Danio rerio: one gene and its partners. The protein of the gene in region 1 purifies or fractionates together with the protein of each later gene. This does not show direct contact. Links are inferred from orthologs where the notes say so. Each region holds a gene or a part of one and is shown in the gene's direction. Other genes may lie near its edges.

Region 1 (3,658 bases):
GCTGATCACACAACCATACTTTCCTGACAAGATGTGCATGAAAATCAACTCCTCTCAATCACATTAGCCATTACATTTGAATATAAAACTATGTAAGTGCTCTTACGAGCTTTTTGATGTTGATATGTTCTCAGGTTCCTCCTATAATGACAAAGCAGAGGGCAAGAAAAAAGGGCGTCCTCGAGTGGAGGTACAGGAGCTGCGCAATATTCCTGTGAGTAAAGCATTAAATATATCTTTTGGCCACTGATAAAGGAGCGAAGTACATGCCAGATTGGGATTTTGAGTGTTTTTTAAAGCCGTTTGTGAAATGAGTAAGGGGAATTTCCAAAAGTACTTCCAACTGTTGAATTTGGAAGAGGATCATCTCACAGAGGGCTGAGTGTTAGTCAATTGATTGCTAATAGTTTGCAGTGCCTCTTGTGTATTGTTTGCTTTTCTCTCGTTGAAGGCCCATATGATGGTTCAGTGGAAAGAGGAGTTTAAGAGTCGTTCCAGGGTGAAATGTCCAAGCTCAGGCTGCTGGCTGGAATTCCCCAGTATTTACGGACTTAAATATCACTATCAGCGATGCCAAGGGGTAAACACTAATATCCATTACACTGCAAAAAAAAAAAAAAAAAAAAAAACGTGTATGCACTCAGTGGGGGTTTACACTATAGTCAGTGGGTTGTATGGACAGTTTCCGACTAGTCAAGTCAAGGTTATGAAGTGCTAAAGGTTTGGGTTGGTTTAGGATTGCGTCAGCTAGGACATTTAGCTGCAATAGCTTTGAAATGTATTGATACTGGCATACTTGTGTTGTTTTGGCAGGTGTCAAAGAGGATGAATACATAGATTTCTACATTTATTTTGTCTTGAATATAAAGTTTGGACGAATACATTTAACCTATTTAAATTTTAAATTATTTGTGAGATTATAAACATCTCAACTTTTAATCAGTTTAGTGTAATCCTGGGAATTAAAGCTATTACATTTTTAGTCAAATCTTAATGATATGATAAAATCTTAATATATGTTTACTAAATACACAGTGTATATTTACACAACTGATTATATATAGAGAGAGAGAACGCATGTTACATTGGGTACTTAAAATCATCTTGCTGAAAAATAGGTGAAACCAAGTGGATTGAAGAATTGTACAAATATGTAAAGATGTAAAATGTCAATTGATTAGCCTTTATTGGCATCTCTGTGATCCTTAAATTAGAGATGTCCCGATACCCTTTTCGATACCGATTCCAATACATGGACTGGTATCAGCCGATAAAGTGCTAACCCCAGACCTGGGTGTGTATTTGTGCACCTACTAACCTTGTTTGAATTTATCTAAATGTTTTATGATGAACTTCAAACTTATCCTGTAATAAAACATGAACAAATACATTTAGTGAACTAGAGTATTTTATTATAAGACACATTTAACAGTAATATTATTTACTCTTCCACACTGAAAAAGAACTTCATATATATATATATATATATATATATATATATATATATAGATAGATAGATAGATAGATAGATAGATAGATAGATAGATAGATAGATAGATAGATAGATAGATAGATAGATAGATAGATAGATAGATAGATAGATAGATAGATAGATAGATAGATAGATAGATAAATCACATCACTTTTCTTGTAAATGAACATTTTTCTATCAGGCTCCTCTGTTTAGGTTCAGATGTTTTATATATTGTATTATATTATTATAGATAATGAGAAGGTTATTATCTGGTAAATAAAACACATTTTTTTCCAAAATTTCACTTTTTAGATTTTTTTTGCCATCAAAACGAGCTAAATCCACTTGTGCTTTTTTGCAAATACCTCTAAATCCACCTATTGGGACAAGACTGTAATTAGTTGAAAATCACTAAAGATGCAATTAGAAATTATTTTATTAAACTTAAAACACATTACACAAACCACCTAAAATATAAAATACATAAATATGTCAAGTAAGTGGCGGTTCATTCTGCTGTGGTAACCCCTGATAAACCAGGGACTATAAGGCAATTGAATGAATGACATCTGTCGAGTAAGTGCATTAATCAATAATATTAAAACTAGCATTAATTAATTGTTAACAATCTGTTGGTATTTCTGATATTTTGGATTTTGATTTATTAAGGTTGTAATGTAAAAGTAATGTAAAAAAAATTAAACATTGCAAACTAAGCTTTTTAGATTCAAATAATGTAGTGTAAAAACATTGTGAAACATCAATGTCTGTGCATTGTCCATAATGAAAAAAGGAATACAATTTATTAAAGTAATATATATATACATTAGCAAATAAAAGACAAGGCCTACTGTGCAAAAAAGGGGATGTCTCTCAGACAATTTTAAAAGCTGTCACTCATTCATTCTCACTATGCTCAAGGTCTTGGTCTCTTTTTTTGTCTCTTGTTTATCCACAAAAAAAATAGTATCTTAAAATGATCTTTCGTGAAATTGAGTTGCCGCTCAATGTCAAGTAAATCGAACTCATTCAAAGTACCAGCACTGCACAAAAAAAACATTATGAATGCATGCTGCACTTCCGACTGTACATTTGTGTATTCTTTTTCTTATGATGCACAGGGACATTTGAGGGACATTTTCATTTTCATTTTCATTTGACCGTCACTGACAGTCGAACAGGCTCATCAAACTCCATCTTTTAAAATGTAAATCGGAATTAGAATAAAACAGTCTCTTCATAAAGGCCGACGTATCAGTGCGCTGCTACAGTGAAAAGCTATGATTCGATTTGCGTTTTCTGCTTGTTTCTCAGGACATAGCAGCTTTTGCTGTCAAAGGCTAGTGGCGTTTAGAGGCTTTTGCCAACAAACTGTTATTTCTGAATAAGCTGGCGCTGCGTTTGAGATAATTTGATGCAAATATATGTTTTGTTTGTTCTACATTCGCTTAATGTCATTACCTCATTTTTGGTGGAAGTGTCGTTTAGCGGCACACACACTACCTGACACACACACACACACACACACACACACACACACACACACACACACACACACACACACACTACCTGACTAGACTCTTTCCGTCGATCCTAGTTGTGAGAGCAAAACTTGTTTGACTTCTAGTTGATGATTTGGAAAAGTATGAGAAAGTAGATTTTTTTCAGATGAATCATCTATTGAGCTGCATCCCAATCATCACAAATACTGCGGAAGTGGAGCCAAGATTCTAATAGAAACCAGTCAATTTTGGTGAAGGACAAATCATGGTTTGGGTTTACATTCAGTATGGGGCGTGCAAGATATCTGCAGAGTGGATGGCAACAACAACAGCCTGAGGTATCAAGACATTTGTGTTGCTCATTACATTACAAACCACAGGAGAGGGCTAATTCTTCAGCAGGATAGCGCTTCTTCTAATACTTCAGCCTCCACATCAAAGTTCCTGAAAGCAAAGAAGGTCAAGGTGCTCCAGGATTGGCCAGCCTAGTCGCCAGACATTAACATTGATCATGTGTGGGGTAAGATGAAGGAGGAGGCATTGAAGATAAATCAAAGAATCTTGATGACCTCTGGGAGTCCTGCAAGAATGCTTTCCTTGCCATTCCAGATGAGTTTATTAATAAGTTATTTGAGTCATTGCAGAAATGTATGGATGCAGTCATCCAAGGTCAGCGAAGTCA
Region 2 (3,658 bases), on another chromosome or scaffold:
CATTAAATGACACGTTTATTTGAGGGCGCGTAAAAAAATCTGCACCTGAGCAGCGTATATTTGAGGGCGCGCAAGATGTTTTGTGGACGAACAGAAATCGGCGCTCAAGCAGAGATTGACATAATCGTAGGCTATTACATGAATGCAATCTCAACTTAAAACTGCGCCCATGACATTTGTCAATGAAATAAAGACACATGTATTGGTAGATCTGTGTAAAATGGCCAACAGAGTCTGCCGCCACAGCTGGAAAAAATCCTAGAGGAAACAATGGAGTACATCAACTCCTCCAGAAATTATACCTGGAAGATGGAGGCTTTCATCGGTGCTTCTGACTGTGCCAAGCCCAGTTTGATGAAGTGTTGTCCGGTGTTAGCAAGAGGATTTCCCCTCGGGACATTAACGACAAGCACTATGTCATAAACATGCCTCTACAAGAGAAGTTCAGATTTTTCCACTCAAGCAATTTGTGCGAAACAATTTACTTAGTATGTAAATCGCGATTGATGCTTCATCCACATCTGATGTGAACGCAGCAATAGGGTGAATTATTTTGTGAATTAATCAGTACTTCATATGCATAAACGTTGTCATGGTGTAGAGGTGAACTTCTGCTTTCAGTTGAGCGTTATTTAGAGGTTTAAACTAAGCATGACACCCTGAGTGTGTATTTTAGTAAGATCAGTTTCACTCTGATGCTTTAGGAGGTTAAAATGGTTTCTGCTAAATATGGATTTGACCATATACATGCATATACATGTATTGACAGTACATAGGAAAGTATAGTACAGCCTTCATTTTTCCCTGTAAATCTGAATTTTACAACCATACAGTACACAAGACACCCTTTAAAATGTAGTTCAGTGTAACATTAGTTTATACAGTGTAGCTACCTGTGATTCAAATTTTAAAACCTTTTTAAATGACATTAAAATACTTGAATCCACTTAGAATACTTAAAATCCAGTAAGTGTTTAAGGATCACAGTGCAGTCCCAAAATATTATGCTCACAGTCAAGCATAATTAAATAGCCATTTTAATAGAGTATTATTTAATAACCATTTTAAATCCTTATAATTTTTTTATCACTAGGTTTTACCCAATTTAAATTGTTTTATCATTTAGAATAAAAAAAAATGTATGTTCTCTCATTTCATTAAATGATTTAAAAGTACAGGTCAGCTTAAGTATGTTGGATTATTTTACATGAATATGATGCTGGAACATTATTTCAACCATATTTTGGCATTGTAGTTTAAAGCAGGTTGAAAATTCAACTGTTTATTGTGCTTTCTATGCATATGAAATCAGTTTTGTGAATGTACTTTGAAGCAGGCATTCATTTGATCCTGGATGGGAAAATGTTAAAGGTAAACATCTGACATATTGGCCTGACTGTGCCAGCCAAAAATTATTATTGTTGAGCCTTGGGCTGAAATAAATAGCATCACCTTCTCTGTGACCTATTTACCACTCACTTTAAATCAGCGCCGTTGTATTTTTATCTACCATATCACTATGTCTTTCCCTCACGGATTTGCGTTAGAAAAGCATTATCAGTTTTTAATACTTATCATTGCCAGTGCATCAAGTATGTATAGCAATAACTAATATGGGAAGTAAATGAGTTGTGTAAGTAAATATAGGAAATCAATGGAAATGGGCACAATACAAGATTGGGACAAAGTAAATCAATTCTAAATTCAATAAATTTCTCCCATCCAGGTGACAATAAAGAAGAAGACAGCAGTGTTATTCACTATGATGACAAGGCGATTGATCGCTTGTTGGATCGAAACCAAGACGCAACGGAGGACACAGAACTGCAGAGTATGAATGAATACTTGAGCTCATTTAAAGTGGCCCAATATGTGGTCAAAGATGAAGATGAGGAGGTGAGTTTGAGTGCGATTCACTGTCTGTGCTTGGTTTGTTTTGGTATTATATATAGTCGAACCAAATTTTATTGAGACATCTTTGACATTTCTCACAATATCACAATTTATTCACCTTAGCTTATAAAATGCTTATAAAATATCAGAATAAGTTTATCTTGATAATGTCAGATAATGGAAAGAAAAGTATGATATGCAATGGATTACAATCAACCAAAACCACAGCGTATAGTTGCACAATTATCAATACATTGTTGGTTTACTTTAGCCTCAATGACATCCTGTAGTCTCCCCTGTCAACCCGATCTTCAATATTTTTTCACTGCTTAAGCTGCTTCACTTTATCCTGGTTTTAAGTTACTTTGAAGAATATTTGGATATAATATGGCATAAATTACTATATTTTTTCATTTACATCACCTATAGTGTGCTTTAGTCCTTCATAATAATAACCGTCTATACTAAATGTGGCAGAATAATTTTTTTGTTTGACTGCATGTGTTATAACATGGTGTATTTCGCAGGAGGAGGATGTGGATAGAGAGATCATTAAGCAGGAGGAGAGTGTAGATCCTGATTACTGGGAGAAACTGCTGCGGCATCATTACGAGCAGCAGCAGGAAGATCTCGCTCGTCATCTGGGCAAAGGCAAACGGCCACGCAAACCTGTTAACTACAATGACTGTTCACAGGAGGACAGAGGTAGTAGACGGGGTACAGACGCACTTTATTTCCTTTTTTACTGCTCTTTCCCTTTATGTTTGTGAGTATGTGCGCGTGTGCTGTGGATAAAGACGAACGTATTGGTGTGATCTCAAGGTCTGGAAGATTTCTTTACTCTTTGTGTGTTGTGTTTTGTCTGTTTATTATTGTTTATTATTTAAATAGATAATAGATAAACTAAAAGTCAAATGTTTGCAGACTTATTCTTAAAATAATGTTCTCATATTCTTTTAAAATTAAATGCGGAAGATATGTTGTATATTAGGCACTAAAATGTAATGTGATAATTTATCTGACATTTCAAAAGTCGATCATTTATCACTTTAATAATTCTTATTTAATTATGCAGTCTTTGTTGAGAATTTTCTTTCAACATTTCACAATAATGTTAAAGTTAGAATTAATGTTAAAGTAATTTGACAGAGACAGATGTTTTAAAGTGTATACTATACCGATAATTACATTATATTGTTTATGATATATTATGCAGTTACACATTGATTATAAATGTTTATATTATATTATATTATATTATATTATATTATATTATATTATATTATATTATATTATATTATATTATATTATATTATATTATATTATATTATATTATATTAACTTATGAAATCAACTCCAGTCTTGTTTAAACATTTGACCTTTCTGTTTTGAGTGTGAGCATGAATCCCAATTGTTTTGTTCCCTTCAAATAAATATTTCCTCTGCAAGTCAACCCAAATACTCATAAATATTTTGTCCCACTCATTTGGATTCTCAGACTGGCAGGATGATCAGTCTGATAACCAATCAGATTACTCTGTGGCTTCAGAAGAGGGTGATGAGGACTTTGATGAACGATCTGAAGGTAAGAAACAAATTGAAACCATTATTTTTGTTAATAAAAGTTTGTCGTACATGTATACATTTTACTGACATGTTCCTCTTGGTTCAATAACAGCCGCTAACTCTCGAAGACCAAGTCGCAAAGGCTTGAGGAATGACAAAGACAAACCCCTGCCTCCCCTACTGGCCAGAGTGGGAGGAA
Region 3 (4,296 bases), on another chromosome or scaffold:
ATTTTCTTTAGCTAATATTCATTTAGTGCTGGGCAGCTCTCCGATAACAAGCTTTGTCTTGCCCTCACCTCAAACAGTTAAGCAAAATAATCCCAAAAATCTGGTTGTAAACTAATCTAACACAGGTGCAAATGCTGTAATTAGTTTTTTATTTATTTATTTATTAAAGAATTCTCATTTAATGTAAAAACAATGGATCCAGCTTCATTCAGTTTTGGAAAACTACAATAGACCTATATGATGAATTTAATAAACGTGGGATTTATAGGCATGAAAGGCATGGATATTAGTTAAGAAAACATTGAAAAACTTTTATTACATTTCTATTTCTATACCCATTTTTATCAGAATAAATAATATGTATGCAAATCTCTATTGATTAGAATTTAAAAACAGTAATATAAATGTTATGATTTATAATACTTTATTTTCATTCTATTAATATAATTGATAATAATAACTATTTTAATTTGCTAGCTTTTTATGTAAAGCAGAAGTATCAGACATTAAATGGGGAGCCTTTAAATTTGGCAAAGCCTGTAAACCGCTGGTAAATATATGACACCAAATATAGCCTACATTGGAAAATGAAGAATAAAGTGCAGGTTCAGCGTATTCCACAAAGAAGGCATGGGTGAATCCGCGTGCACAGATAACCGGTGATTTGCGGCATGCCAACTCGTGCCCCTTCACCATGCAATATTTGCTAATAATTTGCGTAATGCAGCAGCCAAACGCGCAGAATGATCAGTTATTCTATTTGCTTTAGCTAATAATTAATTAAGAGCTGGGAAGCTCTCTGATAACTTGCTTTGTTTTGCCCTCACCTCAAACAGTTAATTTTTAAGCAGTGCAACATGATGTAAGTGTGGGCATGGCTGCGGCAGCGCTTTCCCTCTAGCCAGCCTCACTCTCATCAGCCCCATTCCCTCCACACATTTCTATTTGTTTTTTTCAAAGGTGGGGGCTTACAGAATATTAAGGTGGCCATGTTTGTTAGATTCGTGTCGCGCTTGCATTGCTTTGCGCACAGTGCGCGCCGCCGCCACTGCGTGCACTTTCGGAAAAACCAGACAGTTACAGGCAAGAGTCTGCAGCAGTGAGAGAACACGAGCACACGCAATAAAAGCAGCTCACAGACAAGTTGCATTTAGCAAAACGCCTCCCTACTGTAACAAAGTGCTTATTTTTAAGGAGGGAGGGGAGACTAGAGAGAGAGAGAGGGGGGGGGGAGAGAAAGAAATAAAGGAAAAAAGGAGGAGGAGAAGGAGGGGGGCGTTCTGAAATAATATAGTCAGCCATTTTTATGTAAGGGGATTTTTCTTATGGGGGGGGGGGGGTTGTTAAAAAATAAATATAAGGGCGGCCATCTTTGTTTCTCTGCCTTGTAGTGTAAAATATTCCAAAACGCCCCCCACTTTTTGTGTGTCGATTTGAATATTACATAAATATCATAATTTGGAAGGAATACACTTTTAGATCTCGCGGAACGGGGTCACCGACGGGAATATAATGTCCTCTCTTCTCCGTTCTTGTGAGGAAGATGAGGGCACGGCGGTTAATTCCGAGGGAGGAGATTTTGATGAAGAAGAAGAAGACGACGGGGACCTGGACGAGAACGCAAGCGACATAAACTCACCGGCGGCGCCTCGAGAAACTGCAGCAAGAGCCGCGCCAGGTACCGTACTGTCCGCGGCACACACGGGAGCGCGCGTTGGGCACAAAAACACAGCGAAACTAATCAAGAATCCTCCGAAAACTGCGACAGCTGCATCCAGACATCCATTCTGGATGCTCTGAAGCGGTCAGCTATTGTGTATGCTTTATTTATCCGCGTGCGTTGTGGCTAGGAGTTGCATGGAGTTTGGCTAAAGTTGACCGTTCCCCCTCTTTCTGTCCCGTCTGTGTCATTCATCAGGTCTGTCATGGGATGGTGCTTTCTCATCTCCCGCTGTGATCTGACAAAGGATCATTAAGCCGCCACCGTCCCGTGTTTTCTTTGCCCTGAAGGTTCGAACTTAATACTTAGGCAGATAAAGACAGATAAGCCGAAGCACTGATCTAAATGCGGGTGAGAGAGAGGCGTGAGCGTCAGGACTACCGCTTTGAATTGTGACAATGTAAATAAACTTGACCCGACCCACTGGTTCAGCACAGGGCACGGAGATGCTTTCACTTTGTGAAATGACAGTTTGCACGCTGTCATCAGCCCTCAGGCGGTCTCACGGTGTGACTGTGTCGATAAAACGCCTCATTATTGTGTGTATGTCACTATAATGACATCAACAGATAGTGATGAGGGAAAAGTTTCCGCTATTTAGTCGATTACGTGCCAGTAGTTGACAAAGACGTAAACTGATGCTCAGTCATTTTCCTAAAAAATGACTCCTTAAGCAGTTTTACACTTCATCCTAAATATAACTTATTCCAACTTTTATTTAAACAGTGTTTTGTCACATTTGGGGCCTCGGCGTCTCGCGCATTCCCACAGTGCGCGTGAATCAATTAGCACGCACGCGCGTCCTGTCTCGCCCCCGCGACCTTCAGCTGCGGGTCATCCGGTGGTCTGCTCCCCTGGTGCGGGAGTTCAAGACGCGGGGAGCATCAGCTCGGCTCGCGGCCTCTCAATCACCGAGCCCCGAGTGTGTGTTACTGCCGCCCCTGGCTGCTGCAGCGAGCGGGAAAAAAGGCTCTGCCCGCGCGCCCCAGCAACAAAGACGATATCAAATCCATCTCGTTTATCGCAGCGCAATGGCGATAGCTCTGCGTTATCAGACATTGCGTGCTGATATTTCTGCTTCGGTTGCACATTTGTAAAAACAAGCTGTATCAGGGTGAACGATACACAGTCAGACGTGAGTACTTGTTAAGTGAGGAGGCATTTCTTTGTTATCTAACTCTAAAATCTGTTTGGTTATTTTAAACTAATTAGTCATATTAGTATAATAGACTACTGGGTAATATTATGACTAAAGCCTACATCTGGGTTAGGGACTAAAAAGAGTTTCATGCACAGAGCTTTCTGCTTAAAATGAAAAAGAAAACTGGATTTTATGATAATGGTTTTACGTATCTGCTGTAAATACAGTAACATAGTAGCTGTTTTGTTTAATAATACAACAATGATAATAATAATATTAATAATACATTATTATATAAACGTTAAGACTGCCTTTTAAGAATATTTTGATTTTTTGTTGGTGTTCATCATCACAGCAACAGAGGCTTGAAAACTCTTTCAGCTTAGTCCCTTATTTATCAGTGGTTTCCACAGCGGAATGAACCGCCTGCTTGAAAACTTAATAGGCGATTTATTGTCAAGCGTAAACATTTTCACATTTAAGCTGGCCTTAAACAAACTATAAGACTCCTTTTGTTAACATTATTGGAACTAAACAAACGATAACTACCCACTGTAAAGCACTTATACTCAATCTTAGGTGATGTTTATTTAATGTTTATCAACTGACGACACAGTGGCTTAGTAGTTAGCACTGTCACTGATTCGAGCAAGAAGGTCGCTGATTCGAGTCCCGGCTGGGTCAGTTGGCATTTCTGTGTGGAGTTTGCATGCTTGTATTGGCGTGGGTTTCCTCCAGGTTCTCCGGTTTCCCTCACAGTCCAAAGACATGTGATATAGGTGAATTGGATAAACAAAGCTGGCTGTAGTGTATATTAGTGAATGAGTGTGTATGGATGTTTCCCAGTTCTGGGTTGCAGCTGGGAGGGCATCAGCTTTGTAAAACATATACTAGATAAGTTGCCGGTTCATTCCACTGTGGCCACCCCTGATGAATAAATGGACTAAGCTGAACGAAAATGAATGAATGTTTAATAATTTGGAAAAATTTAAATCAATAGTCAAAGCTGTTTTATTAGTTTAATTAAGCTAACGACTAATAAAGTTAGCTGTATTTGTATTAAGCTAACGTTAACAACGAATCTGATTCTCACTGTTGATGTTAGTTAATGCATTAGTTAACGTTTACTAATGAGACTTTAAAAGATTGTAAAATGTACTTTATGAACCAAATTAATCTTGTCTAAATCATTTATGTACCATAAAGCAATACACAAAAGGTATGGTTCTTTTAGTTATTATACCTGTTATAGGTTAAATAATACATACCTGTCTTTTAGTTAAAATAACCGCTTTTTTGCAGCTTATGTCGATATGATGATAGTACTGATGAATAACTTTAGCAGTTCAGAACATTTATACCATCAAATTCCACTTTGCCCCTCTGAAAGATGATGTCTATGTCAAACCTGTTATAACACACATATAATTATTAA

What was found.
Region 2: the proteins of znf512b (region 1) and chd4b purify together in Homo sapiens (affinity purification with mass spectrometry; 4 studies listed by BioGRID and IntAct, with this or other methods). This does not show direct contact. The link is inferred for Danio rerio from reciprocal best matches to the Homo sapiens genes ZNF512B and CHD4.
Region 3: the proteins of znf512b (region 1) and chd3 purify together in Homo sapiens (affinity purification with mass spectrometry; 3 studies listed by BioGRID and IntAct, with this or other methods). This does not show direct contact. The link is inferred for Danio rerio from reciprocal best matches to the Homo sapiens genes ZNF512B and CHD3.

What each region holds. Positions count from the first base shown.
Region 1 is NC_133198.1:14,985,778-14,989,435, forward strand, and holds part of znf512b (zinc finger protein 512B), read left to right. Parts: intron 1-134; coding exon 135-214; intron 215-451; coding exon 452-580; intron 581-3,658. UniProt on the Homo sapiens protein: Involved in transcriptional regulation by repressing gene expression. Associates with the nucleosome remodeling and histone deacetylase (NuRD) complex, which promotes transcriptional repression by histone deacetylation and nucleosome remodeling.
Region 2 is NC_133191.1:34,963,414-34,967,071, reverse strand, and holds part of chd4b (chromodomain-helicase-DNA-binding protein 4), read left to right. Parts: intron 1-1,726; coding exon 1,727-1,896; intron 1,897-2,420; coding exon 2,421-2,610; intron 2,611-3,391; coding exon 3,392-3,478; intron 3,479-3,571; coding exon 3,572-3,658. UniProt on the Homo sapiens protein: ATP-dependent chromatin-remodeling factor that binds and distorts nucleosomal DNA. Acts as a component of the histone deacetylase NuRD complex which participates in the remodeling of chromatin.
Region 3 is NC_133182.1:20,749,487-20,753,782, reverse strand, and holds the start of chd3 (chromodomain-helicase-DNA-binding protein 3), read left to right. Parts: upstream 1-1,382; 5' UTR 1,383-1,512; coding exon 1,513-1,678; intron 1,679-4,296.